Arabidopsis thaliana: one gene and its partners. The protein of the gene in region 3 interacts with the protein of the main gene of each other region in a pairwise test. Each region holds a gene or a part of one and is shown on either strand. Other genes may lie near its edges.

Evidence for each region.
Region 1: the proteins of Fes1C (region 3) and LSH4 interact in a two-hybrid assay, tested with the Arabidopsis thaliana proteins (one large-scale study listed by BioGRID).
Region 2: the proteins of Fes1C (region 3) and AT1G15385 interact in a two-hybrid assay, tested with the Arabidopsis thaliana proteins (one large-scale study listed by BioGRID).
Region 4: the proteins of Fes1C (region 3) and AT4G39820 interact in a two-hybrid assay, tested with the Arabidopsis thaliana proteins (one large-scale study listed by BioGRID).

Annotation. Positions count from the first base shown.
Region 1 is NC_003074.8:8,324,772-8,333,198, reverse strand, and holds LSH4 (LIGHT-DEPENDENT SHORT HYPOCOTYLS-like protein (DUF640)), read right to left. Parts: upstream 6,572-8,427; 5' UTR 6,242-6,571; coding exon 5,957-6,241; intron 5,492-5,956; coding exon 5,189-5,491; 3' UTR 4,642-5,188; downstream 1-4,641. UniProt on the Arabidopsis thaliana protein: Probable transcription regulator that acts as a developmental regulator by promoting cell growth in response to light. May suppress organ differentiation in the boundary region.
Region 2 is NC_003070.9:5,289,410-5,296,808, reverse strand, and holds AT1G15385 (cotton fiber protein), read left to right. Parts: upstream 1-3,470; 5' UTR 3,471-3,611; coding exon 3,612-3,833; 3' UTR 3,834-4,097; downstream 4,098-7,399. Other genes in the region: AT1G15400 (uncharacterized protein), read left to right, coding at 1-403, 763-790; PDF1A (peptide deformylase 1A), read right to left, coding at 1,184-1,492, 1,576-1,665, 1,746-2,156; GLYI4 (Lactoylglutathione lyase / glyoxalase I family protein), read right to left, coding at 4,522-4,785, 5,489-5,594, 5,700-5,854.
Region 3 is NC_003076.8:421,078-429,680, reverse strand, and holds Fes1C (Fes1C), read left to right. Parts: upstream 1-3,302; 5' UTR 3,303-3,468; intron 3,469-3,564; exon of another isoform or gene 3,565-3,586; 5' UTR 3,587-3,612; coding exon 3,613-3,698; intron 3,699-3,891; exon of another isoform or gene 3,892-3,895; coding exon 3,896-4,038; intron 4,039-4,122; coding exon 4,123-4,173; intron 4,174-4,266; coding exon 4,267-4,488; intron 4,489-4,600; coding exon 4,601-4,703; intron 4,704-4,830; coding exon 4,831-5,200; downstream 5,201-8,603. Other genes in the region: AT5G02170 (Transmembrane amino acid transporter family protein), read right to left, coding at 1-109, 203-422, 505-685, 764-787, 877-1,091, 1,297-1,568, 1,665-1,822; AT5G02160 (uncharacterized protein), read right to left, coding at 2,657-2,798, 3,042-3,289; AT5G02140 (Pathogenesis-related thaumatin superfamily protein), read right to left, coding at 5,244-5,400, 5,476-6,148, 6,243-6,297; NDP1 (Tetratricopeptide repeat (TPR)-like superfamily protein), read left to right, coding at 7,723-7,921, 8,016-8,142, 8,235-8,308, 8,383-8,429, 8,519-8,603.
Region 4 is NC_003075.7:18,472,664-18,481,317, forward strand, and holds AT4G39820 (Tetratricopeptide repeat (TPR)-like superfamily protein), read right to left. Parts: upstream 5,398-8,654; 5' UTR 5,319-5,397; coding exon 4,035-5,318; 3' UTR 4,034-4,034; intron 3,786-4,033; 3' UTR 3,295-3,785; downstream 1-3,294. Other genes in the region: AT4G39810 (Polynucleotidyl transferase, ribonuclease H-like superfamily protein), read right to left, coding at 1,945-2,037, 2,131-2,256, 2,361-2,424, 2,507-2,553, 2,635-3,072; AT4G39830 (Cupredoxin superfamily protein), read left to right, coding at 6,440-6,733, 6,799-6,891, 6,970-7,182, 7,277-7,471, 7,568-8,521.

The DNA of each region.
Region 1 (8,427 bases), on a different chromosome or scaffold from region 3:
ATGCGAAATTGTAGGTCATTCAAATAGAGAGATCGGAGAAATGAGAGTGAGATTCGGATCTGGAGAAGAAGTTTGAGAGACTGCTTCTTCGTCTTCTTCTTCGTTGGTCTATATTGGGATTCGAACGAACAAAAAGTAACAAAAGCGGCAGCGAAAGAGATATAATGAGAGAGTGAAGAGAGAAAGAGAAATAAAGCGTCAAAGTCGTTAATTAATTTTTCATTGAAATATTTGGTTTAGTTTTATGTGTCGGTGATCTTTTTTGTTTTCGTAACATGAAAATATGAATTATATGAAGAGGAATTGTATTTTCTTTTATTTATTTATATATATTGATGACTTTTTGTGTGTTTGAATATTGTCGCCTCTGGATCTACGCTTTTTTTCTGGTCTTGGTGAGAGTGGGTTACTGGGAAAATAAATGACTCGATTTGGTTCAGCTTACACATGTCTAATGGTTGACTTGTCCCGATTTTAATATATTTTCTAGAGCTAGTTAGTTAGGTATGTAACCAATGTTACGAAAAATTAATTGAGTATACTAGTGTTAGTTAGGATGTAAAAAACGTAAGAAAAGAAAATTAATTAAGTGGATATTTTAGAAACTTATGTCATTTGCAAAAGCTATTTAATTGGATGGGTGCTATACTCTAACTAACATGTTATTTGGCAAATTGTTTTGTAAATTTTATTATCATTTTCTTGTATCAAATTGTACATATTGTGTTATTTTCGTCGTCATGCTTCTATATATGATCCAAGTATCCTCAAGTTTTCGAAAATATATATTGCAAAACACACGAATAAATTCGTATGATAATTTGTGTTTTTTTTTAAAATTAATCTTATTAGCTGGTCCGATTAACACAGATAAAAAAGAAGTGCTTTAAAGTACATTTTTTTCAAAAGGGCCACTACACTGTTTGTTCTGAATTTGGACTATTTTTCGACCAGATCATATATTAGTGACTACCAGATAAGATGTTTAGGTATTTGGCTCAAACCCAGACATCTCACACAAATATAATTTTTTTTGTTTCGAGGGTGGACCAAACATGGATTAGTTCCTTTCAACCTTTCTTCAATTCTCAATCACCACTAGAACATGGGCTCTAAATTTTCTTTGATGTTGTTTAAGAAACTTTTGTACTAAATTTTCTTTGATGTTGTTTAAGAAACTTTTGTTGTTGTTAGACTTAGATTTTCTAAGGATATTTTACTCATTCTATCTTCTCTTTTAAAATTTTATGGACCTGCCATTTCTACAAAATAGTACTAAAATTGGTATTTTTTAGTTAATTCATCAAAAATTTGTCCATAATATGTTTTGGTATATTACCACTTGTTCACTAAAATTTGTCCATCAAAGCTAAACCCCCAAGAACTAGTCCATAAATGATATGTTTGGTAGATTTTAATGGCCACCTTTTGATTGACCACAACATATTATGGACAAGTTTTTTAGACGACTACCAAAACATACCTATAATTTCAGTTTAACTTTCTCAAAGTGGTAGATCCACAAGATTTTCTTTTAAGGGTAGAATGATGAAATTTTTATTTTTGTAAATTCCATGGAGTTTCACTCATCCACCCTTCATGAACATAATGGCTATAAACTTGTATTAAGATATATGATGTTCTTCCTTCGAAATTCATATTATTTCTTCTAAACTCATGTCTTTTGTTAAATGGAATCCAAGATGAAATATATATAGTTTAATATAACATAACAATATCATCTTTAATGTCGTTGTTGTTAGAGTTTGAATAGCCTTCAAAAAAATTCTGTGAACAGTATGTTATATACCAATTTAATTTCAAGTTGTGTTACATAGACTCACCACTACAAGTCATGGGTCCTTTCTAAATTTATGTCATTTAGTGTATACTGTAAACTAAAAAGTTCATATACTTAATCCATTTAAAATTATGGTCGTTTAGTGCAGTTCTGTTATTTTTGTAACTCACTAATTACTTTGTTTTAGTCGACCTCAAAACAAAACAATAGTTATTTGATTCGGCAATTGTGTTAAACAAATGGGTTAAAGCCTGTAAATAAATGGGCTCTCACATCTTGAGCTAGGTACAGGTATGGCAGAGATCGGACTGAAGATCTAACGGAGGAGAAAAAAATGTTTTTTAGGCACAACTAGTTTTGTTTGTGGTAAAAAAATTGCTAACTACTTAGAAGAACTGTTGCGAAAGATACTCAGCTACCTCACCATTTTTCTAAGATTAATACTTTACTGTATAATTACCTTAATTATAGTAGTATTTTATTAATTAATTGTATAATTTCTTAAATCTCTTTTTAATTTTGAAGGAAAAAGTAATCTTTTTAAACTTAAGTCAGAATAAGTAAATGATATAATAATTTCTGTTTTTATATAATAAAATACAGATTGTTTCTTTATAATTATCCATTTTACATTTTTTAAATTGTTTTACGTATGATATATAAGTATAGTTTCCTTGTAAATATTTGTTTACATTTTTAAATTGTTTAAAATTATAAATTTTTATAATTATGTTTTATATTTTTAAAATTAATAGAAAGATATTTTGGTTTATCAATGTCAAAATTATATGAGATCACTAAAGTTGACATGTGACACAATCTTATAAATTACTAAACTTTAAAAACCAAGCTTTATATAATAAAAAATTTATTGACTTGATAAAAAGAAGGAAGATTGTTGCCTAATTCTTTATCTCATATAGCTTTAGAGGTAAACAGGTTAATCACTTTGATTTCCTCTAAACAACAACTTCAGCTCAATATCACCTTTTAATCTTGCTTAAAACCTTACTGTCAAATATTCTTTTGATTTTTCGACTAACTTGATATATTGATGCTATCTAATTACTAACTTAAGCGTCAAATGTACACGATCAATAGTCAGAGCCGGTCGTATGCAACATTTACGATGATGAATAATGAAACAAAACACATACGAGTTCACATGGAAATTATAGTACTAAGGCAACAATTTGATTTGACCAAAAAAAAAAGACAACAATTTGACAACTTTCAGAACCAAACTCCTACTTATGTCGATAAACAACAATTGTTAACCAATAATGATCATTTAACGAATGTTGGAACCAACACTTAAAAGGGAAACGTTACATAGGTGCACTGCAGATTGGTTGGTGGACCAAAGCGGGTCAGACCGCATCACACGCTCTCACCGTCTCATTTGTCATTTCATGTCAGCTTTGCTCAAACGATAAATGGAAAAAAAAAAATAGTAACTAGATAACATAAATGTTGCTTAGGACCGGCCCTGACTTATGATCGTGTACATTTGACGCTTAAGTTAGTAATTAGATAACATCAATGTATCAAATTAGTCGAAAAATCAAAAGAGAATTTGACATTAAGGTTTTAAGCAAGATTAAAAGGTAATATTGAGTTCAAGTTGTTGTTTAGAGTAAATCAAAGTGATTGACCTGTTTTACCTTTTAAGATATATGAGATCAAGAATTTACCGGAGCAATAATACATATATTTTTATAAACAAAGAAAGAAAAGACTTTTTGGTAACAAGGACAAGAAACTGAATGATTTGCCAATTCCCTACCAAATTAAGACGCTACAAAGGAAGGCGTACACAGAGAGCATGAAAAGACACGAACAACCATTTGATTCTGCAAATCTTCTTTTGTCATGTCTTATCGAACTACAATAATATTCAATGTAACCCGCGGTATACCGCGGAACAATTTATTTTTTTAAGTTAATATATATAAAAATTTGCAAATTGTTTATATTTATAAAATATTTTTATTTTATAGTTTACAATTGTTATTAAGTAACGTCCTGCCAAACCCGTCCCGCAAAAAAAAAACTCATTTATTTTGTTAATGTTGATCTTATTTATGATATGTTTATAAATCATTCTCTAAATATTTTAATCGATGTGGGACGTTGAACTCACACATTTTTCGCCAATTGTTTAATATATGTTCATTTTTTAAATTTCGAATCACAAAATATGACTGAAAAAAATTTGAGATTTTTTGAAACTCTATATATTATATAATGATGTTAAGATTTTTTGATATATTAAACTTTTTATAAGTTTAAATATTAGTAATATTTTAAAAAGTTTAAAATATAAATAATAATATTTAAAAAATTAATAGTTTTTGTCTTTTAGGTAATGACATAATAAATCTAAAAGCAAGGATTTAGAAAATTTAAATCTTTAATTAAATATTTTCATTCCTATATAATTAATGCCAGTAGCATGAAATTGTAAATAAGTTCAAATACAGAATTTATTTATTTAAACAAAAAACGTTTAGTAAGAATAATATTTATTTAAACAAAAACTTTGTTTTAAAATATTGTTAACAAATACGTTTATGCTAATTTTAAAGGATTGATCTTAAGTTTGTTTGGATTAAATTTGCTTGATAATGTAATTGACAATTTAAATTAAGAATTTAAAGTAAAATGAATTATTTTGGAATTTTTTTTAATGCTAATGGTATGGAGTTGTAAATAAGTTCAACTTTACGATTTATTTGCTAAAATGGCTGGTAATTATGAAGAATTTACATCATAATCTTAAGTAGTATAAGACAACAAAAAAAAAAAAAAACTAAATACTATATTACAACTAATTCACATTCGGTCTTGCATTGGGATCCGTAAATAGCAAAGAAAAACCCTAAATTTAGTATCCTACAAAACATTAGTACTTGTTTAACTTGATCAATATATAGAGATAGAGGTTCTTTGAAATAATTGGATAAATGATTCAAGAATGTATTAAATATAAACTCTTGAATCACTTAGAGAAAACGTAATATTATATAATGTTTTATAAATACATGCGATAAATGAACCAACATAATCATAAGTTTGCCATCTTTCAATTTTGCAAATAAATAACAAAGCCATTAGTTTAGTGCTTTTACTAGTCTATAAGATAAAACTTATGACTTGTCTAACATGTTACATGTATATATTAAAAATATATACTAATCTATACTTATGTGAGGCCAAACAGAAAGAACTACAAATTTATTTAATACAACATAAGAATTCTTTAGGTTTGCCAAATAAAAGTTTAGGAAAGGGCATGTGACTTTAAAAGAACTCGTGCATGTTCGTCATTGATAAAAATTTGTAAACAAACGTAGTTCATTGAAACATCTTACTCATGACTTAATGTTAATTAGGGCTACTTGAAATCGCCGGCTGAGCCGGTGGTAGTGGCGGAGGAGGTCGCTTGCGCTTCTTTTTTTCATAGCTGATCCCACGTGCTTTAGCCTGCGAGTCACGTACTTCCCTTAGGTAGAGTCGAACGGCTCGTGCACCAAAAGGGTTCGTCTCTGGTGAACCACCGTTCTCTTCAAAAGCAGCTCTAAGACGGCCAATGAGTGCGTCCAGACTACCCCACGCTTGTCGGAGTGGACAGGCACATGGTGCTGGTGGGTTTGGGTGTCCGAAGAACGGACATAGGTGTGTGTGAACCTAGAGATACAAAGATCAAAGTGGCGTTTTAACTTCAGCATTTTCAATCTATATAGATATTATGTGCTTGTAATGTATGAAAAACATTTTTGAGTATATACAACAATAGTATATCATCATCACAGTAAGAATCATAGACAATATATTTTATTTATTTGCTAATAACGATGGAGTTAACTTTTTAAATAAACAAAATTCAGAATCATGTTGCAATACTATTTGTCGGTGATAGATGAAAATATATGAAAGATATAGAGCCCAAGTGAGATTATATTAATTAATGAAGATCAATAAGAATCCAATTCTCAACTATATATAACAAAAATACGTTTTAGCCTTTAGGTCAAAGAACCAAATTAGACATAGGGTTTCAATTCATTTGGTTCTATATCAATGGAAAATTATCAAAAAGAGTATTTTGATGTAAGAGATAGATAGACACATATGTAAGTGTATATGTTATACCTTAGTCTTGCCGAATTGGTCGAGGTACCTGAGGAATTCAAGAACATGAGCACCACTGCAACGGGAGAGAGAAAGTGGTGGACGGTGATTGCGTAGATACTGTCCGAAAGTGTTCCAATCTCTTCTCTTCTGATTCTCGTACCTGCTTAGCTGGTTAGTCCCCGAGCCTCCGGAGGACGAAGAGGAAGACGAAGAGGTCGTAGTGGTAGTGGCTGCGGCAGCGATCATAAGGTTTGTGTTATGTGACATGTTTGTTGTGCCCATAAAGCCGATGATATGATCCATAATATCAAGATCTGATTATCTAAGGATTTTTTGTTTGGTTTTTCGGTTATGGTGAAGATGAGAGGAGGCTTGTGAGTCTAAAGTTGATAAGAGAAGATGATGGAGAGGAAAAAAGAAGATGAGAGGCTATCGTAGTCATTGCTATAAAAGAGTGAATTGAATGGAGTCATATAAATATTCTTTTTTTGCTTTTCATTTATGTTTTCGCTTGACTAATAACAGTGGAACAAATAATAATGCAAGCTTGTTTTTACTATAGTCTATAGAGATTGAGTTAAACACTAAGCTAAATACTAAGGTTACGTATATCTCTTAAAATCATTATTGTTGTGTGTAAGACTTTGAATAGGTTTTTGGCGGATGAAGATTAAGGGGTATTTATTAATATTATGGGCGAATGAGGTTATTTGTTTATTTATACTTCTTATTTTGTTGACCGAAAACAGTTAAAATGTTATATGGTAACAAATATATATAAGATATAAAATCTTATTAATTAGTATAATTACTTTAGTTGTTAAAAATGTTTATTTGCATAGTGGCAAATCAATGATCTTTGACCTAAGTTTAGATGGAAATTATTCACCACTCATAGATTTTTTTTTAAATGAATCACCACTCCTAGATTACCTTTCTTTGGTTATTATCACTTAACACACTACAAAATTTGCAATGGACTTATTCTCATAACTTTTCTAGTCAACAGTCAACACCGCTTTCTTTAAAACAAATTTTGATTCCGCCATTTCCTTGATATTTTGGACCGGAGAAGAAGGAACCGACCTAGTTACATGGGTAGGAGCCATGGCCCTATTCTCTTACGTTTACGTAATCGATTTACAATCATTTTCTTTGAAATATGTTTTACAATTTCTTTTGCTTGAAACTACTATAGGATAAAACGGAAGACTTTTTATGTATGACCCTTAAAAACATATATTTGGAACTCATAAAAAGCTAGACTAACTTAAGCTGACGACTCATTTCCACACTCCTATAAAAATCTAGACAAATACAGTAATTTATCGTTAAATGAGAAAGATGGAAACAAATCTAGTGAGTGATCAACAATATAACTAAATTAGAGGAGAGACTAGTACAGTAGGGTTGGGCAGAGAGAATATAGTGACGATGGCTTTGGTTCTTGGTGTGAGTGGACAACACCTGGAGTGAAAAGACGATATTACCCCTGAAAGAAGTTAGCGGCAAGGGGTAACTTGTGGCAGAGGTACAAAACTGCATGGGGACAGAGAGGGAAAAGATGACCAGTGGAGTGTGTTTTTGAATGGTTACTTAATAAAGAAGGAGAAATGTTGAGTCAATCAATCAAATCTAACTGTTCCATTTCATGTCGTTGTGGACCATGTGAATTTTTTTCACTTGGTTTTCGTTTTTTGTTTTTTGTTTTTTGGACTTTTCGCTCTTATACAAAAACAAAATAGGCGTATAATTTCTCTTAAAATTGTGTTTATTTAGCAACAGAATAATTTTTTACAAAATAGATGTTTTTTTTTCCATCAGATCTTATTTATATATATTTTTAATGTTATTTGAAAAAAGAAAAATATAGCATATATATATATATTGACATTTAAATGTAGGCTATGTAGCATGAATATATATTTTAAAAGTATATATATATGTATATATTTTAAAATTATTGTTTTCTATACCTAAGTGTATGGAACAGTGGAAGTCTGGTAGATTGTACAAACCACCTTTTCAATTGACTTTTATAAAACCCATCGATTGTTATATATTCGATACAAATTGTAACAAAAAATCAAACCCAAATTTCAAATGGTTTGCTTCTTTTATATAATTATTGAGATTATAAAGTTAAGATCATTAGATTTTCCTTAACAAAAAAAAAAGATCACTTAATTGAATGGAAATCCGTTTATCGATCTCTCACATATGAGGGTTATTACTTATTAGTTATTAGACTTGTATTCTATAGTCTATACTTTGTTTGTTGTGTGTTTAATACTTGTAGTCTATAGTATTTGCCATTAATAGCAATGACATGAAGCTTCTCTTTATGCTACATTTGGTGGTGGGGATATCTTTATCTTATACTTGTAGCCTACTAATTTATTCAAATTTCCAAACAAAAGGAGTAATATATCCATTGAATTTGTAATCCTCTACATACATTTTTTTTTCCTTTTAAAAAGTTTAACATA
Region 2 (7,399 bases), on a different chromosome or scaffold from region 3:
GATCAACAATCTCTTTCCGCCGTCAGGGATCTTCCGGTATAGTGTTTGACGATCGTCTCATCGCCGAACTCAACAAATCGGGAAACAACGAGCAGAAAGACGAAAGTCAACGCGACGAACAACCTAAGCCTATGTCGGAAAGCTCTGAACAGGTCAAACCAATCGATGAGAAAGACAAGCTTAGACCGATTAAAACCGGTGGAGGAGCACCAGGAGGAATAGAGAGGAGTCGATCTAACGGTGGAGGAGCTCAACGACATCATAGAACAACCGGAAGAGTTTCTCCGGCAGTGGACCCGCCGTCTCCGAGAATTTCGTCATGCGGTTGTTGCTCTGCGTTTGGAAAGAATCCGCCGGGGAAGAAAGTTAATCCGAGGAAAAGGCCGCCGAAACGTAGATCGAGGTAGGCGTCAGGATTAATAATATTCATGAGGAAAAAATAGTATACACTGTCTTTCATCTTTCTTCTTCTTCTTTTTTGTATGTGTGTGTTCTTTGTTATAAAAAACTTTAAATTTGATTTTTCGATTTGATCAACAGACTCTGGTTATTTGTAAATTATCTGTCTTTCTTTGTTTTCGGACAATTTCCCATTTCTGTACAAAATCAAACTTTCCGATTTGGTGATTCTTCTTCCTTCTTGGCGAATTATCTGATTAAGTGATTTCAGTATAAAACATTTTGAGAAAAATCAAACAACGTTCAAGTCCCTTCCGATGGCTCACTGACTAATCCTCTAGGGTTTCGAATCTGGCAGAGAAGGCGGCGGATCGTGACCAAGAAAAGATAAATCAATCTGCTTTGATTGGAATTAGACGGCTCTGATGTGATGTTTTGATTTAATATTAATATTCGTATCTCAAATTATATACTTACTGGACCCGCCGAGGGGGAGGGCCGTTTCACCGCCGCATTAAACGGCTACGACACCGTGTCTTGTCCGGAGTAAGCATAACATCACATTACCATTTGTAGAATAGCTGTCTTTAATTGTACTAATATCTTCTGTCTTCAAGTTATAATATTTTATTAAATGAAAATCTTTCAATCCATTACCAAACCCGAAAAAAGAACCCTCTTTCCGACAAAGTTTCATCTTTGAAATTATTTGAGTCAAGCTCAATCTAGAAGAGTTTTAGTAAAGAATCAAAACAGAAGATTACAACTTTTGTTGAAGAATCTGTCATTGAGGTCCGAGCTTAGGGCAGCCCTCAGCTAAAGGCAAGTCCAAGTTGTCGACTGTCCTAAAAGTGCGTGGTACCATCTTATCAACGTAAAGATTACCATCCAAATGATCACACTCATGTTGCAAAATCCTAGCTTGCCAACCTGAAGCATTCACTTCAATCCTCTTTCCTTGACGATCGTAGCCCGTCACTACCACCTCAAGGTATCTCTCCACCGCAGCTCTGAATCCATCAACACTCAAGCATCCTTCAAAGAAAAGAGCTTTCTTGTTGCTTCTCTCCTTGAGAACCGGATTCACCATCACCTAACCAAAACCCCCAAACTTCAACATTTTTGTTCTAATCGAAAATTGTAACAACTCTTAAGCACTCTGATTCTATTATTTACCATGAGATCAAAATGACGTCTTTCTTGAGCAAGAATCTCTTCCTTTGGTGCGTAACTTATATACTCTTTTGTATCTTCCAATACAATAATCTGCATCATTCACCATGAAACACTAATTCAATCATTTGCTTCGAAATGGGTGAAACTAGGAAAAGCATTTATAGACTTACCCTTAAGGGAACACCAATTTGAGGAGCAGCGAGGCCAACTCCAGGAGCCAATCTCATAACTTTAATCATATCATCAATTATCTTCTGAATACGCTCCGACCCGATTTCTCCCGGGTCAACTTCTCGGGCCTTCTCGTGCAGAACCGGGTCACCAGATGCCACTATCTCCGGTAAATCCACTTTCTTTTTCTTCTCACCAAGACCCAATAACCAACCGGCTTTTGTCGACAAAGAGGAGGAAGAAGAAGTAGGCAAATTATACAGCTTACGGTTCAGTAAGTGTGAGGAACCGGGTCTTGAAACGGGGAATCGGATCGAGCGACATGTCACGGCGGCGGAAACCGGAAGTAGACGAAGTGAGACTCTGAAAAGGGTTTCCATGGCCGTCGCTTCGTCTCGGTGGAGTCCCATCGGTCGTCATTTCTTGAAATACGACTCCTTGGGCCTAAAATCGCTCTTTCAGCCTATTATCTTAATAGCCCAATAGAAATGAGATAGTTCTGCTCTTCCTTGGGCCTAATACATAATTGTTTTTCTTTTTGACAACACAGGGATTCTCTATAGAGATAATGTTGTCATAAAACATAATAATTTTGAGTTTGATTAGTTTCCAATATCTGTCCAATACGATTGTGATATTCCTTAGGTAATCTATTACCGTTGCACAAAAAGAAAAGATAATCTATTACATGCATTAACTACCAAAACACTCTTTAATCGTGTGATTATAAATATGCGTTAGTGATGTTATCCGGAGCAATCCACCACCACAGGCCAACTACGTAATAACAAAAATAAATTTAAAAACTGTAATAGATAAATCAAATTTGAATTACCAAATAACATCCTAAACTAGTGGGTTCAAAATCATTAATTTTTATGTTTGGTTATGGCCAATAACGGTTCATAATTAATCAAATTGTAACTCTACCATGTACGTTTGCTTTGAAGCTTCTTATTTTATTTTATTTTGATAATCGCATTATTCTTCGATCACGGCAAATGAATTTTGAACCAATATTCTCTATACATTTTAATAAAAAAAGTATGTGTATCAATATATCATACATGATTCAACGAATCTGCCGAAAACTAATTAGTTCGGTTTAGAGTTAGGTACTTAGGTTATAAGCTAACTTAAGCCACATAATCTCTTTTATTTTATTGTTCTTCTTGGTAAAGAAGAAGCGGTACCGGTTACCGGAGCGGCGACAATGGGAATAGTGGGCGGTGAGTTAACGAGTTCAATCTCCAATGCTTAAGCCGTAATTCGTGTGGTATATAAAAACAACAAAGCCAATTGTTTTGGTTAGTGACGAATGGTCAAATTATATATAACTTTCTAGAATCTTGCATCCTTGTTTCTCCAAATTAACAAATTCAAATTTAATATGTAGTTAGGCAACCTCTTTTACATTTCTTTCAAGCAGAATCTTAGATTTGATGCTATGTTATTCCAATAGTTAATAGAGGATTAACGTATATTTTATTTTTTCTTAAAAAAGAAATATATAAATTATAAAGTAGAGAGTAGAGACGGTGCTTTGTAGATCATTCCTCTCTGACTATGGATGGGTCTCGTATATAACGTTTTTTGTTATTGTTAATAAGTCGCGTGTATAACTTGAGATTCAAGATTCCATTTCTTTTTATTCCTTCAACATTCAACTATGGTTTACGTAAAGAGAAATAAGTCTTCTCCTTTCCTATATGTCTAACTACAGTTTTTTATTAAAAAAAAATAAAAAAAAAAATGAAAATCCCCTATAAATACATAGGTCTCGAGCATCTCCAAAATATAACAATTCACCCTCTCTCCAAAATCAATTAAGGAAACACAAGCACTGTTACACACACATCTCTACCATGAACAACAACAAGAACATGAAGATGATGATGAGTTCCGCAAAAGAAAGTGGTAATGGTACCACTAATATTGTTATTAAAGAGACGATGAATAAGAAGGTGGAAAGGAAGGCATCGATGGACGTGGACAAGAGCGCAGAAGCTTTCATCACAAAGTTCAGAAATCAGCTTCTTCTCCAGCGTCTTGAATCCATTGAAAACATGCTCTCCAAAGGCCCTTAACACTACTTATCAATATACACATGTATTATTTCTTTCTTGTATATATAGTACTGTTATATCTCATGGGATTCCAACGTATGGAAGAATGATTTATGGCTTTCATATATTACTTTAGATCTTCTTTCTTTTAGATGTGGAACTCTATTTCTTGGTATTTATATTACAATATAAGAAATGTAAGGTGTGCCTTAGCAATACAATCTGTATCAACTTTTTCTATTTGGATCAAATTTTTGCAATAGACTTTCTCAATTGAAATTGTGACTTCTAAACAAAAGGGGAATGCGAGAGCCAAACATGTATTGGATGCCTCTACGAACTAGCTTGGAATCTCTTTACAAGCCTTTTTGTTGTTAGACCGTTCAATGTAGATATGAGATTCGTAACATATACGTTAACTTCGAGGGTCTAGAATGCATTTCTTGAGAGAGTGAATAGTCTAGTCTCTTTAGTTGCATTGCACAAAAGAGTTAAATCGAACCAAATACATTAACCAATATACATATATGTAAAACATGATTTCCCTTGATTATATTATATAAGCTTGTGGAGCAAAGAGAATGGTCATTTCCTCGAAGGGAATCACATTCGCTGATTCACATCGGTCTCTTATTGTATATTACACCCAAAACCAAGCACACCAATACACAAACACACACAATATAAAGAAGAAGTGAGCTGTTTATAATTAAGGGTAGACCACTTGGTGGATCTGAGTCTGCGGTTGTGGCTGCACCATCTGGTGGAGTTTGACTCTTGAGCAGGACCGAGCCATTTCTCCTACGAGGGGGACTACGGGGAGGCTATCGCAGTTGCAAATCTCGATCATGAAGCCATCAGGGTCATGGAAGAAGAGCTGGTCCACTTGGATCCCTCCTTCTTCTACTAATGCCCTTACATAATCTATCCCCATTTCCTCCAGCTTCTTCTCCACTACTCCCATACTCTCACACTGCATTTCCATAATTCACAACTCTTATTATTCAGACCAAAATTTCTACTATAATCTTATGTATGCTCAAAAAACAGAGTAACAACTATATACTTGGGATCTCCTCTTGTTAATTGTCTCACAAATTCTTCACACACATACCAAACACAAGATGTTTTGATGCTTAAAACCAAGTGGTTTGTTGTATAATCCTAACTAACATTTCTATTACACAACTATAAAAGTTGAGGATGTTTTGATTCATAAAACAAAATTGTTTGTTGTCAATAATGGAACAATGAATACTTCTGACTCACAAAACTTGACCTCTGAAAACCCCACCTTCTATTGTCCTTTTTTTCTCTCCCTTCTTAACTTATCTCTTGTCATTTTCTCTAGGATATTTTTGTTCTCTCATAAATTCAGTTTCTTTCATTCAATAGTTATCATAAGCCAATTCAAACTATACTAACAAATTCTATCCTAAGGGTCATTTACTTAGGAAACTAACAAATTTTGGATTTTCTTCCTTAATAATAAATAATTCTGAGATTGTGTTTTGCACAAAAGGTTCATAAATATAGAAAAATATCCTAAGACAACATCTAAATACAGAGCTTGTATGAACGTAGATTATGGTTTATGGCTTTAAAAAGCACAAAAGTTTTATTGAAAAAAACAAAAAACAGGGCAAAACTGAGAATTAACACACACGAAAAATTACCTGGAAAGAGATGTGATTATCCTTGGGATTAATCGCAGTTTTCTTGGGAAGTTTCTCTGGTTCTGGGGCACACAGGAGGTGTATTCCAATCCCGTGACCAAACAACCTAGACCCCCCCAAAAAAAAGAACATGTAAAAAAACTAAACTCATTGGTACTTTTTTTGTCCCTCAAAATTCAGATATATTTTAAATAAAATGATGATAAATTACCAAGCGCCTTCAAAATTTAAGGATTCAGGTCTTCGTATCGGGATGAACCCTAACACCTTTTGGTAAAAATTCATAGATTCGTCGACGGATCGGCACAAGACAGAGACATGGTTCAGTGACGTGAGATGCAAAGGGTTTCCTGCGTCTTCCTTCATTTTCCAGAGACAAAGATCCTAAAGAAACAATTATATTAAAAAAAAGTAACGCCGCCTTTGATTAACAATCCAAAAACAATGACGTCCACGTTAATTCAAGCGAGAATGATTGTAATAGTTGCAGGACGTTATTACATGTATGATCTTTATATATAGTTTTGTGTTGTGTAGAAAGAAGGTTAATGGGATAACCACGGAACTTATCTGATGATCAATTACACATGGCTATGCTGTATTTATAGAAAAGCTAGCGTCTTAAGCAAATATGGGTAATTTTTTTTATGAATTTTTAACCTTTCATAATTAAAAAGAAAAAGAAAAACTATTATTTATATTTGGATCATCAACGTACCAAACAAATTCGGCCTATAAGATCTTATTTCTTGTAATAGGTTTAGTCTTTATAAGTTTGAGTGTGACACGTCGATTTAGGTTTTGATAGTTAGATATATTAACAAATTTAACAATGGAAATAAAATTAGGATGTCTATATAGTCAATAATTTCAACTGATATCTAATCTTATCTATTACGTAAAATAGTTCTTTACTACGTAACAGGAATGATTATAAGAAACCTAAGATGGTTGTAATGAACGACAACTAGTCAAGCTAAGTACGTAAATAATTGGGATGATGTGATTGGTAAAAGGAAAAGGTGAAATCAGTGAAATTGGGGCGGTTATATATGAAAAATGTTGTGATTACCTCCCTCAGGTAGTGTCAGGATTAGTTCAACACGTAGGAACTCATACAAGCTGACTCAGACAATCACAACTTTTCCTTAAAAACGATATCAAAGGTAAGATCATATTGGGACACGTCAGCATTTTTAAACGTTACTCGTTTGTTGTTTTTGTGTATAGAATTTGGTCATTTGTTGCCGTGTCCAGTGCAAATTGGGCTGTCCCAATTAACAATTGATATATTTTTAGAATAGTATTTAGACATGTTGCTTTATTATTTATCTAATTCTTAAAAAGTTATAAAAAAATCAGGCATAGCTAAAACGATTTAAACTTTGTTTATGTATATATTGGGATGCTATTTAATTATTTGTTTATATATATATATAAAAAGAATCCTCCGAAAAGGAAAAAAATATGTTAGAGCATGCCTATTGGTGTGATATCCATAGTATCTCCTTAATTAAGATACTACTATTTTAATATTATTTAATCTTAAAATTTTCATTAATATTATATTAATATTTTATTAATTTTCATCAAATTACATCTTAAAAATATTCATTGTATTAATTTGTTCTAAACATATCAAATATTTTGTAGTTACCTTAATTAATACTAATTAAAATAATTCTAATATATCTTTAGAGTTATGCATAATGGAGGTTAATAAATAGATAATTTATATTATGATTTAAAATGAAACCAAAAAAAAAAACATATAAACTCTTTAACTGATATTCATATCATTTTACTTTATAATTTGTAAAAATAATAAATAGAAAACACTTAAAAAGAGTACATATATATATCAGTGTTTTAATTAAGAAGATAATTTTTTTTATGGATATCTCAAACTAA
Region 3 (8,603 bases):
GGTGAAATGTGGTGGCATGTTCAGTGTAAATTGGGATTGAATCGCATCACCAAACATCGTGAATCCACAAACCGCTACCGCAATGTAAAATAGAGTGCAAAACGCAAAACTACATAACGCAACAAACAATTATTTTATGAAATGAGAAGTGATGAAAATTAGACCTAGAGGTTTCTTGCGCTATAAGCAAAAGTTGTTTTACCTGATGAGAAGCACCGTAGGAAACTTGGAAGGTTCTTTCATGGATGAGTAAATGTTGGGGAAAACAGAGTGACTCCCGAAACCGAACCCGTAAATTCCGATTGCGACAGGTATGTTAGTTATATCAAGAGCTTGTCCGCTTATGTGAAATCCAACCCCGTCTACTGATCCAGCCCAAAAGAGGCAAAGCGCAAGCAAGATTGAGGAGATGACACCTCCGGCTAAGGAAACAAAACATTTCTTAAATTTAATTAAAGAGTTCAAATCTCAGAGATTGTTGTGTGTGCCAATTACGAGATGAACCTGAGAGATAGGACAATAAGCTGAGGTCTTTGAGCCAGACAGTAGGAAGAACAATAAGAGTCGTGGTAATGGCGAAAACTTGAGTAGAATCTAAAGAAAATCCGTTGATGTATAAGGAGGTATTTGGGAACATTCTTGACAAATTATCACTCATCATGATTATGTATTCCACACAAGATGCCTACAGAAAAAAATTCAAAGTTAGGACCTCAATTTCTTCAATCATGATATGAAACATGAAAGAGAGTTTGGTACTTACGTATAACTCTACGTAGAGAAGTATCTGAAATGTAATTCCAAACCCAAGTTAAGTTAGGATCACAATTCACACACAAACAAAGTTAAGATTGATTATTTGAAAAATAATCTTACAGAGACGAGGATGCGTCCAGTGGTTCCGAATGCAGCTTGACCGATGTCCGGGTAAGTGTGGATTCCAGGGGAGTTCTCGAGACATCTCTTGAGGAGAATGCCGGTGTAGAAAGTGATAATGCCAAAGGAGAAGAGTATGAAAAGCCCTAACCATCCTCCTTCTTTAACTGCGTAAGGCATTGTAAGTAAAGCTACTCCACATAGAACGTTAATTCCTGCAAAAAGAGAATGTTAAGAATCTCAATCTAAATAGAAAAGATAATCGTAAACTCAGTACTCTCGCACTAATGCTATACTAAACGTAAACTCAGTTCATCAATATATATCAGATTTGGTTTCAGTTTGATTATTTGACTAATCTTGGAAAACAGAGAAAACCTAACCAAAACTCAGATTGAACATTCCTAATGCAATTATTACCGTTGAGAACGGATTGAGAGAATGTGCAACTGCGGTTTTCTTGGGGAGTTAAAAGATCCCCTGGGACTGATAGCTGGAGATGAGAAGCAAGAAATGATTTGATGGAGGACACAACAGAGCTTTGGATCTCGTCTTTGTCTATGAGAAGTTGCTGTTTGCTTGGTGAAGAAGTAAACGAACCGAAAACAGAGCTTTGTCGTCTCTGGCGAAATGAAGAGACAAAACTTGTACTAGTCGGAGGTGTAACTCCAGTCAACAAATCCATAGATTGTCTGAAAATATCCCCAAGAACACCAAAATTATTCTCTAAAGAATAATTTCTTCAGATCTCTTACAAAAACAGAGCACTTAAAAAGAAAATGATTTACCGATAACTTCGAGGCCACGGAACGGGAACGTCTTCGGATCTGTTACGAGATAAAGGAGTTGAGGGAACGGAGCTCTCTGTTTGGCTTTCTTCATCTTCCTCATCGAACGTGTGATACAAATCTTCCCTTTCTTGATCGAATGTCTCGTTTTGCTTCATCTACTTTGTTTGTATTCTTCTACTGTGCTCTGTTTCAAAAACCAACAAAAGGTCTAAAAAGAAGAAGAAGAAGATTGAGAAGAAGCAACTAGGGGACGCAACGAAACGTGTTCTGTTTTCAAGTTCTAAATTATTGTCACGTTTCTTTATATTCTTTAATTAGCAGTCTCCTTACCTATGATGATGTCTCCCTGAATTTGTTTTTCCCCATAATTTAAATGTATTAATGAACAAATTCACGATTTTCCCATTATTCCACCAATAAGATAAATTTAATAATGTCCCATTATCCTATCACTACTAAATCTAAGAAACTTCAAGAACAATTCAAAGAATCTTCTACTCTGACGCGTAAGGTTCATTTACAAAAAATTTAGTTTTTATACAATAATACTATTTGCTTGAAAAAATATAAAAACGTTTCTGGCGAGGTTATTTATAAAACACAGAAATAGACACGTAATGAAGATTAGTTGATATGCATGTGATGTAAGAAGCCAATGACAGTTGGGTCATTAATTGGCCATTAAATGTTCATCTCTAATTACTTATGCAGCAGTTAAATTTATTTTTTGTTCGTTTTATTTTGGTAGCTGAGCACCTTCGTCTATAACTGCTTAAAAACTTACAATAATACTCAGACAATTTCTTACAGAACAAGAAAGCAAAGAAACTTACACATAAAAAAGCAATTGTATATATATATATATATATATATATCCACCCATCTCCAAGCAACCATTGATCATTCCAAGCTATCTACTTTTGCAGAGGTATATTGTAGAGAAGAAGAGGAATGAGAAATGGAGCTTTTTACATATATATGAAGAAGACTTATGATTTATCAATCTGGTTAAGCTTTCCGAGTCCATTGCAGTTAGCACAAACGATCTGAGGAAGATCCTTCCGTGCGGCGTTGGCTCTCAGAGTCACTCCTCCTTTCCTCACAAATCCTGCTCCGTCACATTCCGGACACCTAAACCACACACATTTCAGAGCTTAAACTCACAATGTACAATCTCTGATTCAGTTTACTACATCGGCTAAGAGTTTATGTACGTTTTCAAAATCCATAACAGAGGATTTAGTCCGGTTAAGATAATTCGAATGTTGAACCGGACAATAAACTATGATAATCTGCAATTGATCAGTCAAAATTTGGTTTAACGAGCATTAAAACCGGTTTAAGTCACAAGGTAAAAAGATGAGAGTGGTTTACGTGTCTTTGCGTTTGAAGAGGATCGGGAATGCAGTTCCGACGAGTGCAACGGCGATGGCTCCGCCGATTAAGTAGATTGTTCCGTCAGAAGAGACATCACCGACGGCGGCGACAACTACGGAGGAAGAAGATCTCTTGTTTTTGGGAAGAATCACATTGTTCGGTGATGGTGATCCCCACGAAGAAGAATGTTTCAGGAAGTTGGTTGATGACACGAACGTCGTCTGCAATGCCGGTGCGATCGTCATAATTTAGGGTTTTAAGTGACTGATTTCGATTTGGGGGAAGTAATAAGAAGAAGTGATTTGATTTTTATGGAAAGGTTTTGAATTTGGATTTGCTTCGTGACGTGTCACTCTCTCGAAGTGGATAACGTTTTCACTTGGGATTTTTGGGGTTCTTCAGTTTTCTTTTGTGTGTGGATAAGGTAGGCCCCTTCAAGATATTTCGAGTTAACAATTGGGCCTGTTAAGCCCATTATTAAGTTAGCGTGAACATAAGGCCCAAACTATTTGTCATTGTCTCTGACTCTCTGACCTTCGCAGAGTCTTTCTCTTCTTCCGTTGCTTCAATGGCGAAAGACGGACCTAACTGGGACGGTCTGCTTAAGTGGAGTCTCTCTCACTCCGATGGTACTCGACCTACTTGCCAATTAAGGTACGAAGTTTCTTTGTAATTTCAGGTTTTGTTGGTCACTTAGTGGAGCTTATGTTGTTTGTTGGGTTGTTTTAGAAATTTGCGTGGTTCTGCGTCAGTTTCTTATGAGGAATGAATCATGTAGTGGAATTTGACTATTTGATTTGGTATTGTTTGGTAGATGGTTTTTGATGATATGAAATTGTTTGGTTAGACAGTGAGGAGGATCGAAAATGGTTTGCAGAAGCTATGCAATCACAAACGGTAGATGTAGTCAAGCGGTTGAAGGAGATTACACAGGTATTGCAGACACCTCAACAAGTTTTGGAGGCTCATGAAGTGACCCCTCAAGATATTGAAGGTTCAATATGGAGTTCACTATTGTTTTCTTAGCTATTTTCTCTCTTGTTGGTTACTAAGATTTTGAGTTATGATGATTTGGTAGGTTTGTTGGATGAGTTGCAGGAACATGTTGAATCGATTGATATGGCTAATGGTGAGTCTTTTCATACTTTGACCTTGTAACTTTGTTCTATATCTGTCTTTTGATTGCTGGGCTTAACTTGTACTTCTTTGAATGTATGGGCAGATCTTCATTCCGTTGGAGGCTTGGTACCTCTTCTTGGCTACCTCAAAAACTCCAATGCTAATATCCGGGCTAAGTCTGCAGATGTTGTAAGCACAATAGTTGAGAACAATCCTCGGAGTCAAGAATCAGTTATGGAAGCCAATGGTTTAGAGTCCTTGCTTTTAAGGTTTACTTCAGACACCGATATGCATTCTCGAACACAGGCTCTCGGTGCAATATCATGTAAGCTGCTCTGAGTTCTATCCTATATACTTAGATGGTCGAATGCCTTTTTCAAAAACAAAAATGTCTATCGTAAATCTGATGAATGTATTGTGGTAAATTTGGGGTACAGCTTTGATTCGCAATAATAAACCTGGGATCACAGGTTTCCGGATTGCAAATGGTTACTCTGGTTTAAAAGATGCTTTGGAAACTGATAGTGTGAGATTTCAAAGGTAATAATACTCTTCACTTTTCTTCATGCTTGGATTCCTCTGAACTTTGAGAGAACACAAAGTTGTAACCTTTGTTCTGCTGTTGTCTAACTTTCAAAACTTTTGTCATTACTTTCTCATTCTTCAGGAAAGCTTTAAACTTGTTGCATTATCTTCTACAAGAGAATGACTCAGACTCCGATATTGCTATAGAATTCGGGCTTCACCATTTGATGATGCACCTCGTGTCTAGCTTCGATGCTGATGTAAGAGAAGCTGCTCTTCGAGGATTGCTTGAGCTCGTGAAAGCTAGAAAAGACTGTAGTACTTGTGGTTCTAGCATAGTGAAAGGCGATGAGAGACTCAGACAGATTCTAAAAGATCGGATCAAAGCAATCAGCCGGGTCAAAGCAATGAGCTTGTTTATGTCACAAGAAGATCTATCAGCCGCTAAAGAGGAGAGGCAGCTCTTAGATTCACTATGGACCACAATCTTCAACGAACCTTCTTCTCTTTAGAGACAAAGATACAAAGAGACAAAACCGTCTGTGCTTCCTTATATCATGAGTAAGCACTAAAACCGTCTTTTATGTCTTTGGACCCACCAGCTAAAGCTTGTGTCTTTAGAACACTAGTTAAAAGGATGGTAACCACTGTATAATGACCAAATTTTGATTCTATTTTGAGTTCAAATTTTCTCAGTTTCTCATTCAATGACCTAAAAACAGACCGTACAAGTACCAAATCAAGCTACTGCATGATAAACATAACATAAAAATCAGAAGCCTCTCACTTTGGAGGACAGAAAGTGATAACATAACGAGAAGCTCTACACTTATTCAAACTACTAGAATCATCAAACGCATAACTATAAGCTTTAGGACAAATCGCTTTAAACAGATTCGCGAACAGAGTCGGCTTACACGCCTGAGGATTCGCATATTCACCGGTGCAACAATACTTAGCCGATTGCATCGCCAAGCAAGCACTTTTACAACCAACCACTTTCCCATCTCTCTTAACTTCCAAAGCTGATGGACAACAAATGTTCAAATTCACTTCACAAGCCGCAACGCCACATCCAACTCCACCGCCGATTGGTTTCATCGACACCGGAAGATTGAAACCGTCGACGAGACTTACGTCGTAGAAATGAAGCGGAGAGGAAGATGAGCCTAATGTCATTTCTACTACGGTTGCTGGTGGTACACCGCCGGTTCCTTGGCAGTTGATAGAGCCGTCGTTGCAGTCTCCGGTTTGGCATGAGCCTTTACCGTTTTGGTTAAAGGTGCAGCCTTGTCTACCCCAGATTCGACCGGACCATTTATCCGGTACGTCTATGATGGTTTCTTCGCCGCTTCCCATGTGGAATCCGCCGTTTCTTGGTGTGATTTGGCCTCCGCCGCCGAGAATTCCCGGCCAAATGCTCTCCTGGCAGTTATTCACTATTATAAGCTGAGCTCCATCTGCAAAAGAACAAAGTCACTATTATTGAGAGGAATCAAAACGAGAAACAAAACCCATTTCATAAATTATCGAGAAGGAGAAGAGATATCGTACCAGTGAAGGCTGAGATAGTGAGAAAGAGAAGGAATAGAGTTGCAGATTTCGTCATTGTTGTTGATGTTGTTGTTGTTGTGTGGGGATATATCACTTCTAAAGTTTGCTTTTGTGTGTGTTGTGGTTGTTTTCAAGAGAATATTAATAAAGAATATGTTGAGGACGTCGTGGTCGAAGGAAGAAGTGGAAACTTGGGTTGCAAGACTAATATTGGTGTGGTGAAGTGGATTGTTGTATAGGGAACTGCCAAGTGCTAACGTTTTATAAACTGAGACTTTCATGGGATTAGTGGGAAAGAGAAAGATATGGAGGCTTGATCGTGAGCCTTCTTCTATGAAGAATGGGTTAAAGTTGGATTTAAAGAAAAAGAGAAAGATTCATATGTCTCTCAAACGTTTATTATTGGATAAAGATTAACACTCATAGATTTCTTCATCATTGCATTTCTTTAAGGCAAATTTGTTTATACTTTACAATCCATAACTAATTTTCAGACCTAGCTAAAATCTCATTGTCTAACATTTTAATTATTCTTAGAAATTGATTTGATATTTTTGAATATAGTTTTATAATTTTTGTAATAATGTCGTAATGTTACCACCTGAATTCACTGTTTTGAGTCTATATGAAAATTGTAATAAGGAAAATGTTAGAGTGCTTCACTAGAGTTTTGAACTTTTGATTTTATATGTCAGTTTGTTTTTCTTTCAAAAATTATGTTATATGTTATCTATGCGTATATAAACTTCATCACTTGCTAGTAGCCTAGCATGTCCCAACATTTCTTACCTTTGCTATGACCTTTTTCACTTTGTACATCAAATCAGCAGAGAGCATATATGCATTACTTCAATGAGAGGATTTGCTTTGTTTTTAAACAAAGGCTATATTTACACAAAACAAATCATTCTCTTTTTAATGTTCTTATAATATTTTGTTGGTTTTTGAAAGGTAATAATAGAGATCGAAGCCAAGAATGTCACTAGAGTCTATAGACTTGCTTTTAATAACAGGTGGGGAGGTTGAAGGTTTTGGTGGGTAGGTATCTTGCAAGACATACATATAACATATTGATGAGTACTACTTGCTCAATATTACTTCAAGCTGAAGCAAAATAACATATGAAACCAAATTGAGATAACACTTCAAATCATATTGCAAATGTAAAGAGTGAATTTGCACAATGATTTACAAAGTGAACATATACAACAATGGATTATAAGTTCTTTAAAAACCACAACAACAAAAAAAAAAAAAAAAAAAAAAAAAAAATTCTAGAGGAACTTTTGGGTCAATTTTTGGTTTATTTGGTTATCACAAAACCAAGCCAATTATACCGATTTTTCCAAACCAAACTCAAATTATACCGATTGAAATTGGCCACTCTTAGTGACGACGGCGAGGAAGAGCTCCGCCGACGTTTACTGAGTAAAACCTTTACTTCTGAGCAAGACAAGAAAAAAGAAGATATTGAGCGATTATGATTCGCGCAGCTGCCAAATTCTCCAGAGAAGCAGCGGCAACGATTCGTGGCCGCACGATCTCCGTTAGAGGAAACCTTATTCGATACTCGACGCCATTGAGATTGATTCACGGTGAAATCAGCGTTCCAAACGCGAATCATGTTGCTATTCAGATGGTTAATTACGCTCTTTCTCACGCTAGGTCACAAAAATCAGGTCTTTCTCTATAGTTATAAGGATTTTAGGTGTTTAAACTCTAAGTCTCTGACTGAATTCGAAATGGGTCTCTGTGAATTCTGAATTTTTGCAGATGAATCTTATGCTCAAGGGATGCTAGTGCTTGAGCAGTGTCTTGGGAATCAACCTAACGATGATCAGGTTTCTCATGATTCTAAAGCAACAGTCTTGCTTGCCATGTCTGATCTTTTATACGAAAGGTTTCATCTTTTTTTACCATTTTCTCTCTTTGTTTCAATTGGTAGCTTAAGATTTCTATAAACGTATATTGATTGGTTTTCTATCTTTACAGTGGGAATAGTAGTGAGGCCATTGAACGCCTTAAGCAAGTCATGACTCTGACACACTCATCGTTGGCTATTAGAGGTTGTTGTTGTGAACTTAAGAGTTGTTGAGTGTTTTGTGGCCTTCTGTATCTGAAACTCTCTTTTGTTGTGCAGTTGTTGCTGTGGAAGCCCTTGTTGGTCTGCTGATTCAGTCAGGACAGGTTCAAATCCCAACATTGCTGCTATGTTTTTGTGTTTCTATATTTAGGAACTTGTGTTAGAAATATGATTATTATTTTTTCGTGTTTAGGATGATGCTTCATTGGATGTTGCTGACGAATTTCTGAAATTGGTAAAAGAGAGTGGCCATGAGAATCTTCAGGGTGTGGTTGCTA
Region 4 (8,654 bases), on a different chromosome or scaffold from region 3:
TTTTTTTTTTTTAAAGATTTGTGTTTTAAATATATTTTTACACATATCTAAGAAATTTAAAATACCTTAAATATAATATTAATTCATACTTGTGATTTCACATTTGAGTAATGTATCATAACCAGACATTGATAACTATGAATCTATATGAAACAAAAAGATTTAGTCTAGAACACTGATTATCATTGTCTGTAAAACATCTTCACACTTTTTCTACTGCTCTGTTTCACGTGTTTTTCATGTCTTAGAAAGACGTTATTCTGAATATATTATTTAATTGATTATGGTCGAGCAATGTGTCATAAGGAAAATATCAGTTACATTTTACTTTCAAATTTGAATATTTTAACACAAATTGAAACATTTGTTAAAAATTTAAATTATTTGTTATAGCTTTTCCAAGTTACACTAGTTTATATGATGCCTAAAATATGTAATTTGATTTCCTTTTGTAACCGGGATTCTTTCATTTCTATTTCAATAATGATTAGTCATTTGAAAGGTTTAGATGGAAAGAAAATCCAACTTTTTGCACATGCCTTGAAAATTATTCTAGACATCGGTCTTCCAATGAATCATTTCATTAGTGGACCAATATGAACTGATTTGTAATACAATTTCTTTTAAAGATGTTGCATTATATTCAGATTTGGGTGTGGCATGTTAAAAAAGATCTCTTATTATCTGTTGAATTTATATCATTCTCTTTTTATCTTTGTGTTGTTAATTATGATGATTTGTAAGTTAAAGGTTAAACGTGTGATCTTGGCTCTCGTATCACCTATTCATTGCAGCAATGCTAATTTTTGAAAAACTACATAAAAATATAGTGCTCTTGCTCTAGTCGACATAAGAAGTTTCAAAAACTGAATCCAAAAACTAATTATGGAGGATGAAAAAAAAAAAAAATGGTTTTTGGACACACCTTGGAAATGGAATGGCTTTGAAAAAGTTTGATAGGCATGGTTGTGGCCATACGTACGTTTGTGTATTGATAATTTGTTTCCCTTTGTAAACTCTTTGTCTGTGTTCCTCCACGCCACATACTTCTCTTTGTTTCACATTCATTTTTTTTCACTCAAAAATCATTTTGTATAAAGGGTGATGTTGATGTGCTGGAAGTTTCTCGTACGCTTGATTATGTCCAACTATTTTGTTTCGAATTATTTAATTTTAAGTAAATGAAAAGACTACTATCCAAAATAAAATTCACAAACGAATAATAGATAATACGACAAACAAAACATATTAAGCAGTAAATATATATATATACATATATATTTTGTCTTAATTATAACAGTTGTATTAAAATATATAATTTAATTGCAACTATGTAGATATTTTTTTTTCTTCTTCCCAATAACGTAGATATATTTTATTTGTTTCGTTTCATATTTGTTTTTGACAAACTTTGTTTCGTTTCACATTAATAAAGTAATCAATTATTTTTGTCAATTGGGAACAGTTTATCCATTGTTTCGTTTCACATTAATAACAGATAAACTGTTTCCAATTTAAACAGAATAAGAATTAAATATTTGATCAGAAACTTATCCAAAATTAAATTAAAAACAACTGATTATAAGTTGGACAAACTTTTACGTTGAAATATTTAATTATAAAATAAGATCAAGAGCTTATCCAAAACTAAATAGAAATGAATAAATACGACAAAAATATTAAAAACTATTACGTTGAAATATTAATAAGTCGTAGATAATACGACAAAAGAAAATATATTTAAAGATGACAAACAATACCAATGTGATGTATTCATAAAAGTTTGAGGTAAAAATCAGATAAAAAGTTGTTAGTGACAAAATATAAACAATATCAATTGAATTATTTGGTAATAGAGTCAATGAAGGTATAAATATTATATACAATTAAATTCATTCTTCAAACTATTTATAAAAAAATTAACATTTAGGAGGGATGCAGTAATCATCTAAGCAAAGAATGAGAATGATTGATCAAGCTTTGGAGAGTTTGATTGCCTTGAGCTTTGCTTAACAGATTCTTCACATTTTGTGTCATCTGTATTAAACAAAAACATTTAAAAGAAAGACAAAATTTAACGGCAATTTAAATTCTTTATGATTTGAAGAGAGGGGAAAAAAACACAATTACCTTCTCGAGACTACCCTTCGAGTAAGGCATTGCCCTTTGGGCTATTTGGTAATTCCTTCGACTTCTTGTCATAATCTTAGAAGAAGTGTGCCATTTTCCTTCCAAATGATTGGGAAGTGTAGATTCCTGTATATTTAGGTGATATATAAACACATATACAAATGAGTTAATTTGTATATTTGAAATAAAAATCTTGAAAGAAAAAAAAGAATTATGAGTATACGACATACCAAGAAAAGCACTGTTGCACAATGCTTGAGGACCTCTAAATTCATTCGAACATCATCGAGACTCCTGCAATTATATGACATATGTGCGTTATTTCACCTTAAGGAAAACGTAACAGTAATAGATACAAACATATATGATTAGGTACCTGTGCTTTTGAACTCCAAGACCAAAATAGGCAGCCAAACTTGCCATCTACAAAATAGTGCACAATGACCTTCAATATATAAATTCCTAAGATTTCTAATGCTTACAAAGAATCTTGGATAATGGTACCTTCATGTTACCAGCTCTTTTGCCAAACTTGTCACTTAATAACCCCAAAGAATCAATGATCCCTGAGGGTTCAGGCGCAGCTTTACCGATCTCAGCGAAAGCTTCTTTGATCCTAACGCAATCAAATCTTCTAATGTTATGACCTGCCCAAATCCTACCGTTCAACAAACCATGGATTTTCTCAGCCACGTCTTCAAAACTTGGTGCGTTCGTAACCTTAGCCCTGGTGATCCCATCTGACCTAGACGACCTTATTGAGACCACCGACAAGTCTTTAGGTTGTATAAGCGTTGTGAAGCTCTCTAGCTCCTCGAGTTTTTTTGGACATACGATGATCGCCCCAAACTCTAGTATGTGAAAATGTTGCCCTGCTTTGTTTGGTACGTTTGTTTCTAGATCGAAGAAGACGATTTCGTTGGGAAATGTTTGGACCGCCATATCAGATTTTGGTTTATGTTCGGTTTGTTAATCCTGTGAGTAGGTATGTGTATATATTGTGGATTTGGGGTTTGCGTTTTCTTGTGATAAAAGTTAAGCGTAGATTTGTGTTGGAGGGTTACTGTGGGGATTATTTAGCTTCGCGGAGAAAATTTTGCTCTGTAGGGTAAAGTAAGAATCTTTACTTTGCTTTTTCCAAACCAATAAAAAAGGGTTGTTATATGAAAGAATTCGTTGGTAGATTCATGTTCTACGAGAATTGATTCCTTTGATATTGTCATAAAGATATACAAGGAATCTGAAAGCTGAAAGGGAAAATTTCTCTCAAAAACTGGTAATATCCCAAATTATTGATCCTTATATGATCCTCTCAACGGGAATATTCAACTCAAAATACATGGCTTTAAATATTTGATTTACCCAAAATCTCTGTGCATAGGAAGAGTTGCAAGAACACACATTCTTCATTAGTGGTTAACGGCAAATGCAAAAAAACGTTATAAGAAGATGAATATGAGAAAACGAATGCAGGAAGTTACCAAGTGTTTGGGGGCAACAAACCATTTGCTAGCTTACACAACAGAAAACTACAACGAATTTGAAGCCGGTAATTGCAACAACAGAGTCTCCAGCTGAGGCCAAACCCACCAAGATTTGTTTCATCATTGAAGACATAAACTCTTTGACTAATTACCTTTGTTTGGAATGAAAACCTGCAATTTTGAATGCTAGATGATCAATTTGCATACCTCCAATGGAAATTATATGAAACCAAAACAGAGAACAAGAAGTTTAGGGCGCTAGAGAATATCATCTCTCTTATCTACCTAACCAGATTGTTTCATATTCTTAAGACTTCACAATTTATCGAAGTCATCATAACATCACCAATCAGTTCTTAGACATGCCAAAACCTAAAAAAGGGAAAAATTCAAGAATGAAACAAGAACAGAGACAATACCTCAAACTCTGGTACAAGATGAATCAAAGTCATCAGGAGCAACACGTGCAATCCAATTGTTTAACGTCCGCTTAACATCAGTATGATTAACATAAGCCAACTCATACATACTACACAAATTCACCACCAAGCTCTCGTTCAAAGCCGCGGTTGGCACTCTCTCCAATGCACTTTCCATCACCTTAATCGCATCCGATAGATCTCTCAAGTACATCAAACAAAGAGCCTTATTGTTGACAGCGATAATATCAGAGTTATCCCTTTCAATGCATTTGTCATACTCTCTCACAGCAGAAACATAGTCCTTTGCCACAACATAAACCAAAGCCTTATTCCTACCAACAAGATTGTTGAACTGTATCTCGTTCAATAAACCATTGCTCTTTCCTTCATTCAACATCTTCTCAACTCTATCAAACGTAGTTTTAGCTCCTTCTACATCACCAAACTGCATCTGAACAGACCCTAGTTTCGAAATCAAAACCGGGTCTAACGGATCACGATTGATCAATTCCTTCATCAAATCCAAAGACACCCCAAATTCCTTGTGACCTAAATGAAACCCTAGCAAGCAATTCATCACAAATGTCTCTCTTTTCTTCCACAATTCCACAGAACTCTCTAAACTCTGAGATTCTTTCTCTCTGATTCGATCTCGAACAAAGTCAAGCAAAACATATAAACGATCTAACCCTTCCTGACGATTACCAAGCTTAGTCGGGATCAAAGCGTAGAGCCATCGTAAAGAGAAAGGAACCATAGATCCTCTCCGATTAGGGTAAATCTCAGGGAACGATTCGTACCTGTAATGCGTCCCGTCGAAATCGTGCAAGGAATTAAGCTCATGAGAAGCTTCATCGGAGCGACGAAGCTTCGCGAGAGCCATAACTTGGTAAGTGAGATAAGTGAGATGCTCGTGAGGCTTTGTGAGGAGGAAGAGAGCTCTGGCTTGAGATATCTTCTCGAGGATCGCTTGCCATGAGCCACGGGTCGAAAGCTCGTGGAGCGAGCCGAGATCGTGTGTTAATTCGTCGAGCGAATTGAATCGTTCCGGTGGTAGATCGGCGACGGATGTGACTTGGGATGAGGCTAATTCGAATGCCGTCGGTTCCCCTGCATCGGTTGACTCTGCCATGGCGGTGGAATCAGTGGAGGAGGGATTGAATTCGGGTCGGGTTTCGGATTCGGGTAAATCCGGATCCATTGCTGGAGATGACTCCGTGAACATTGTGGAAGTAACCTGGTTTGGTCTTTGGATTTGGGTCGTCTTTCCAATAGATACCATTACGCTAAATTCTTCTTTTTGGCATAAAAATTTAGATTATTTTTTATTAAAAAAAAACATTTGATATGATTATGATTTTAGGCGGTTTATTAAGATTTTTTTATAATTAGATCAAAAATAATTAGATCAAATACTAAAATTGGAGGAGAATCCAAACTTTGGATTTCATATATTTTATTTTTTAATTCACTAGAAATGAAACAATAATTAAATCCAAAATTACAATTAACTTGTCTCGGATCGATTGATCAATGTTGATTTTTTGTCTTATGACTTTTCTTCGTGTAACGAAAGGAGTTACTTAAATGGTGGAGTAATGGTAATAAATACCATGTTATAATATTGTTACATACTGATAATATTATTTTCCCCATGTTACATGTTACATCATTGATTTTTACGTAGATATTTAATATAACGACCAAAAAAAATTAAGCTCTGACTTGGTCCAAGAGATTTTTTCTCGATTCTTACCATTGACCCTGAGCTAAGACTTGACCAAATTAAAAGTCTATGTGGAATGTACTGCAATAAGTAAGTCTTTTTAATTAACTAAAGAATTTCAGACCTAACCCCATATTTTTTTCGGATAAGGGGTATGAACATGTAAATTATTCAATTTTCTATTGTAGGTATTTAAATTCGAGATTTTTAAAAAATGAAATGAGTGACTAACTAGCTAGTTCAAACCGTAAAACCTATTATTCATTTAATGATTTGATTAAGTATTTTGTTTTAACAATAGTTTAGGCTTTAAAAATCTTACAATCAAACATCAAAATATAATGTGGTTTTACTACGGAAAAAGGAAAAGCAGTGTAGAAGCATCGAACATACTTGACTTTTATGACTTACAAAACACATGAGGTACACAGAATCATATACTACAATTTTACTTTGCTAATAAAAGTCGATGTATTATTATTAGAAATTATCACTAAATCGTAGAAAAGTGAAACGCGTTTTCTCTCCAGTTTTTCTCCAAAAGACAAATGAGTTATCTGTAAACACATGACATGCAATGATCTATCGTTATGTATATATGAATTGATTAATCTCGAACTATATATTGAAATCTCAGCTTCTTATCTTCTTTGATTCTTGGAGACACGATTGGAAAAATGATGAGACCGAAGAGATCATCAGACACAGTCCATGTCTTCAATCTTATGGTCCTCTGTTTCATTGCCCTGTTTTTTTCTTCCGTCCTCTGTCAGGGAAAGATCCGGAGATTCAAATGGGAAGTGAAGTACGAGTTCAAGTCACCGGATTGTTTCGAGAAGCTAGTAATCACAATCAATGGTAAGTTTCCAGGTCCCACCATTAAAGCTCAACAAGGTGACACCATCGTTGTCGAGCTCAAGAATAGCTTCATGACTGAAAATGTCGCTGTCCATTGGCATGGAATCCGACAGGTACGTAAACATCCTCGTAAGCACTCGGTGAATGACTGAAAAAGATTGATTTATATATGTTTCAGATTGGGACTCCATGGTTCGATGGAGTAGAAGGTGTTACTCAATGTCCAATTCTTCCTGGAGAAGTCTTCATTTACCAATTTGTCGTTGATAGGGTAAAGAGTTATAAAACTCACATTAAAGTTTCAATCTTTCTTTATGTTTTTATGTTAAGTTTTGAAATTTGTTTGTAGCCTGGTACATACATGTATCATTCACACTATGGGATGCAGAGAGAGTCTGGATTAATCGGAATGATTCAAGTTTCTCCTCCGGCCACAGAGCCCGAACCGTTTACATACGATTATGACCGGAACTTTTTGTTAACTGATTGGTATCACAAAAGTATGTCAGAGAAAGCCACCGGTTTAGCATCCATACCCTTCAAGTGGGTCGGTGAGCCACAAGTGAGTTCTTTTTTCCATCACTCAAAAGTCAGATTCTTGTTTGATCGATCAAATTTTATGTTTATGGATGATTCTTATTTGGATATATTATCAGTCGCTTATGATACAAGGAAGAGGAAGATTCAACTGCTCAAACAACCTAACCACTCCTCCAAGCTTAGTGTCTGGAGTATGTAACGTCTCAAACGCTGATTGTTCGCGTTTTATTCTTACGGTGATTCCCGGAAAGACATACAGGCTTCGAATAGGTAGCTTGACGGCTCTCTCTGCTCTCAGTTTCCAAATCGAGGTACTTAGCTTGAGAATCAAGCCAATCATTTTCATTGTCTTCTCTGTTTCTTTCTTTTTCGTATTCTAATGGAAGATGGGTTAAATTAAACAACAGGGACATAATTTGACAGTTGTTGAAGCAGACGGACACTACGTAGAACCATTCACGGTGAAGAATCTCTTTGTATACTCCGGCGAAACTTATTCCGTACTTCTCAAGGCAGATCAAAACCCTCGACGAAACTATTGGATCACCTCAAGCATAGTTAGCCGTCCGGCGACAACTCCACCGGCAACCGCTGTACTCAACTACTACCCGAACCACCCACGACGGCGTCCTCCCACGTCGGAATCATCCAATATCGTACCGGAATGGAACGACACGCGCTCCCGTCTTGCACAAAGCCTAGCAATCAAGGCGCGTCGAGGATTCATTCACGCGCTGCCGGAGAATTCTGACAAAGTCATTGTGCTTCTGAATACACAAAACGAAGTCAACGGATACAGACGTTGGTCGGTCAACAACGTTTCCTATCACCACCCTAAAACGCCGTACCTAATCGCGTTAAAGCAAAACCTCACAAACGCGTTTGACTGGCGTTTCACGGCACCGGAGAACTACGATTCTCGAAATTACGACATATTCGCGAAACCCCTTAACGCTAACGCGACGACGAGCGATGGAATCTACAGATTGAGATTCAATTCAACCGTGGACGTGATTTTACAAAACGCGAATACAATGAACGCAAACAACAGTGAAACGCACCCGTGGCATTTACACGGTCATGATTTTTGGGTGCTTGGGTACGGAGAAGGAAAGTTTAATGAGTCGGAGGATCCGAAAAGGTATAACCGGGTCGACCCGATAAAGAAAAACACGGTTGCGGTTCAACCGTTTGGCTGGACGGCGTTGCGTTTTAGAGCGGATAATCCTGGCGTTTGGTCGTTTCACTGCCACATTGAATCGCATTTTTTCATGGGAATGGGGATTGTGTTCGAGTCTGGGATTGATAAGGTTTCTAGTTTACCTTCTTCTATAATGGGATGTGGTCAGACTAAACGCTGATTATATTGTTTAATCAAATTCGAGTAGAAAATATTCATTGTTTAATCATTGAGACACCTGTTTTTTTTTTAGCCAATGAGACACCTGTTTTATTTAATGTAAGTAATGTTAGATAACAAGGTGGATATTTTGC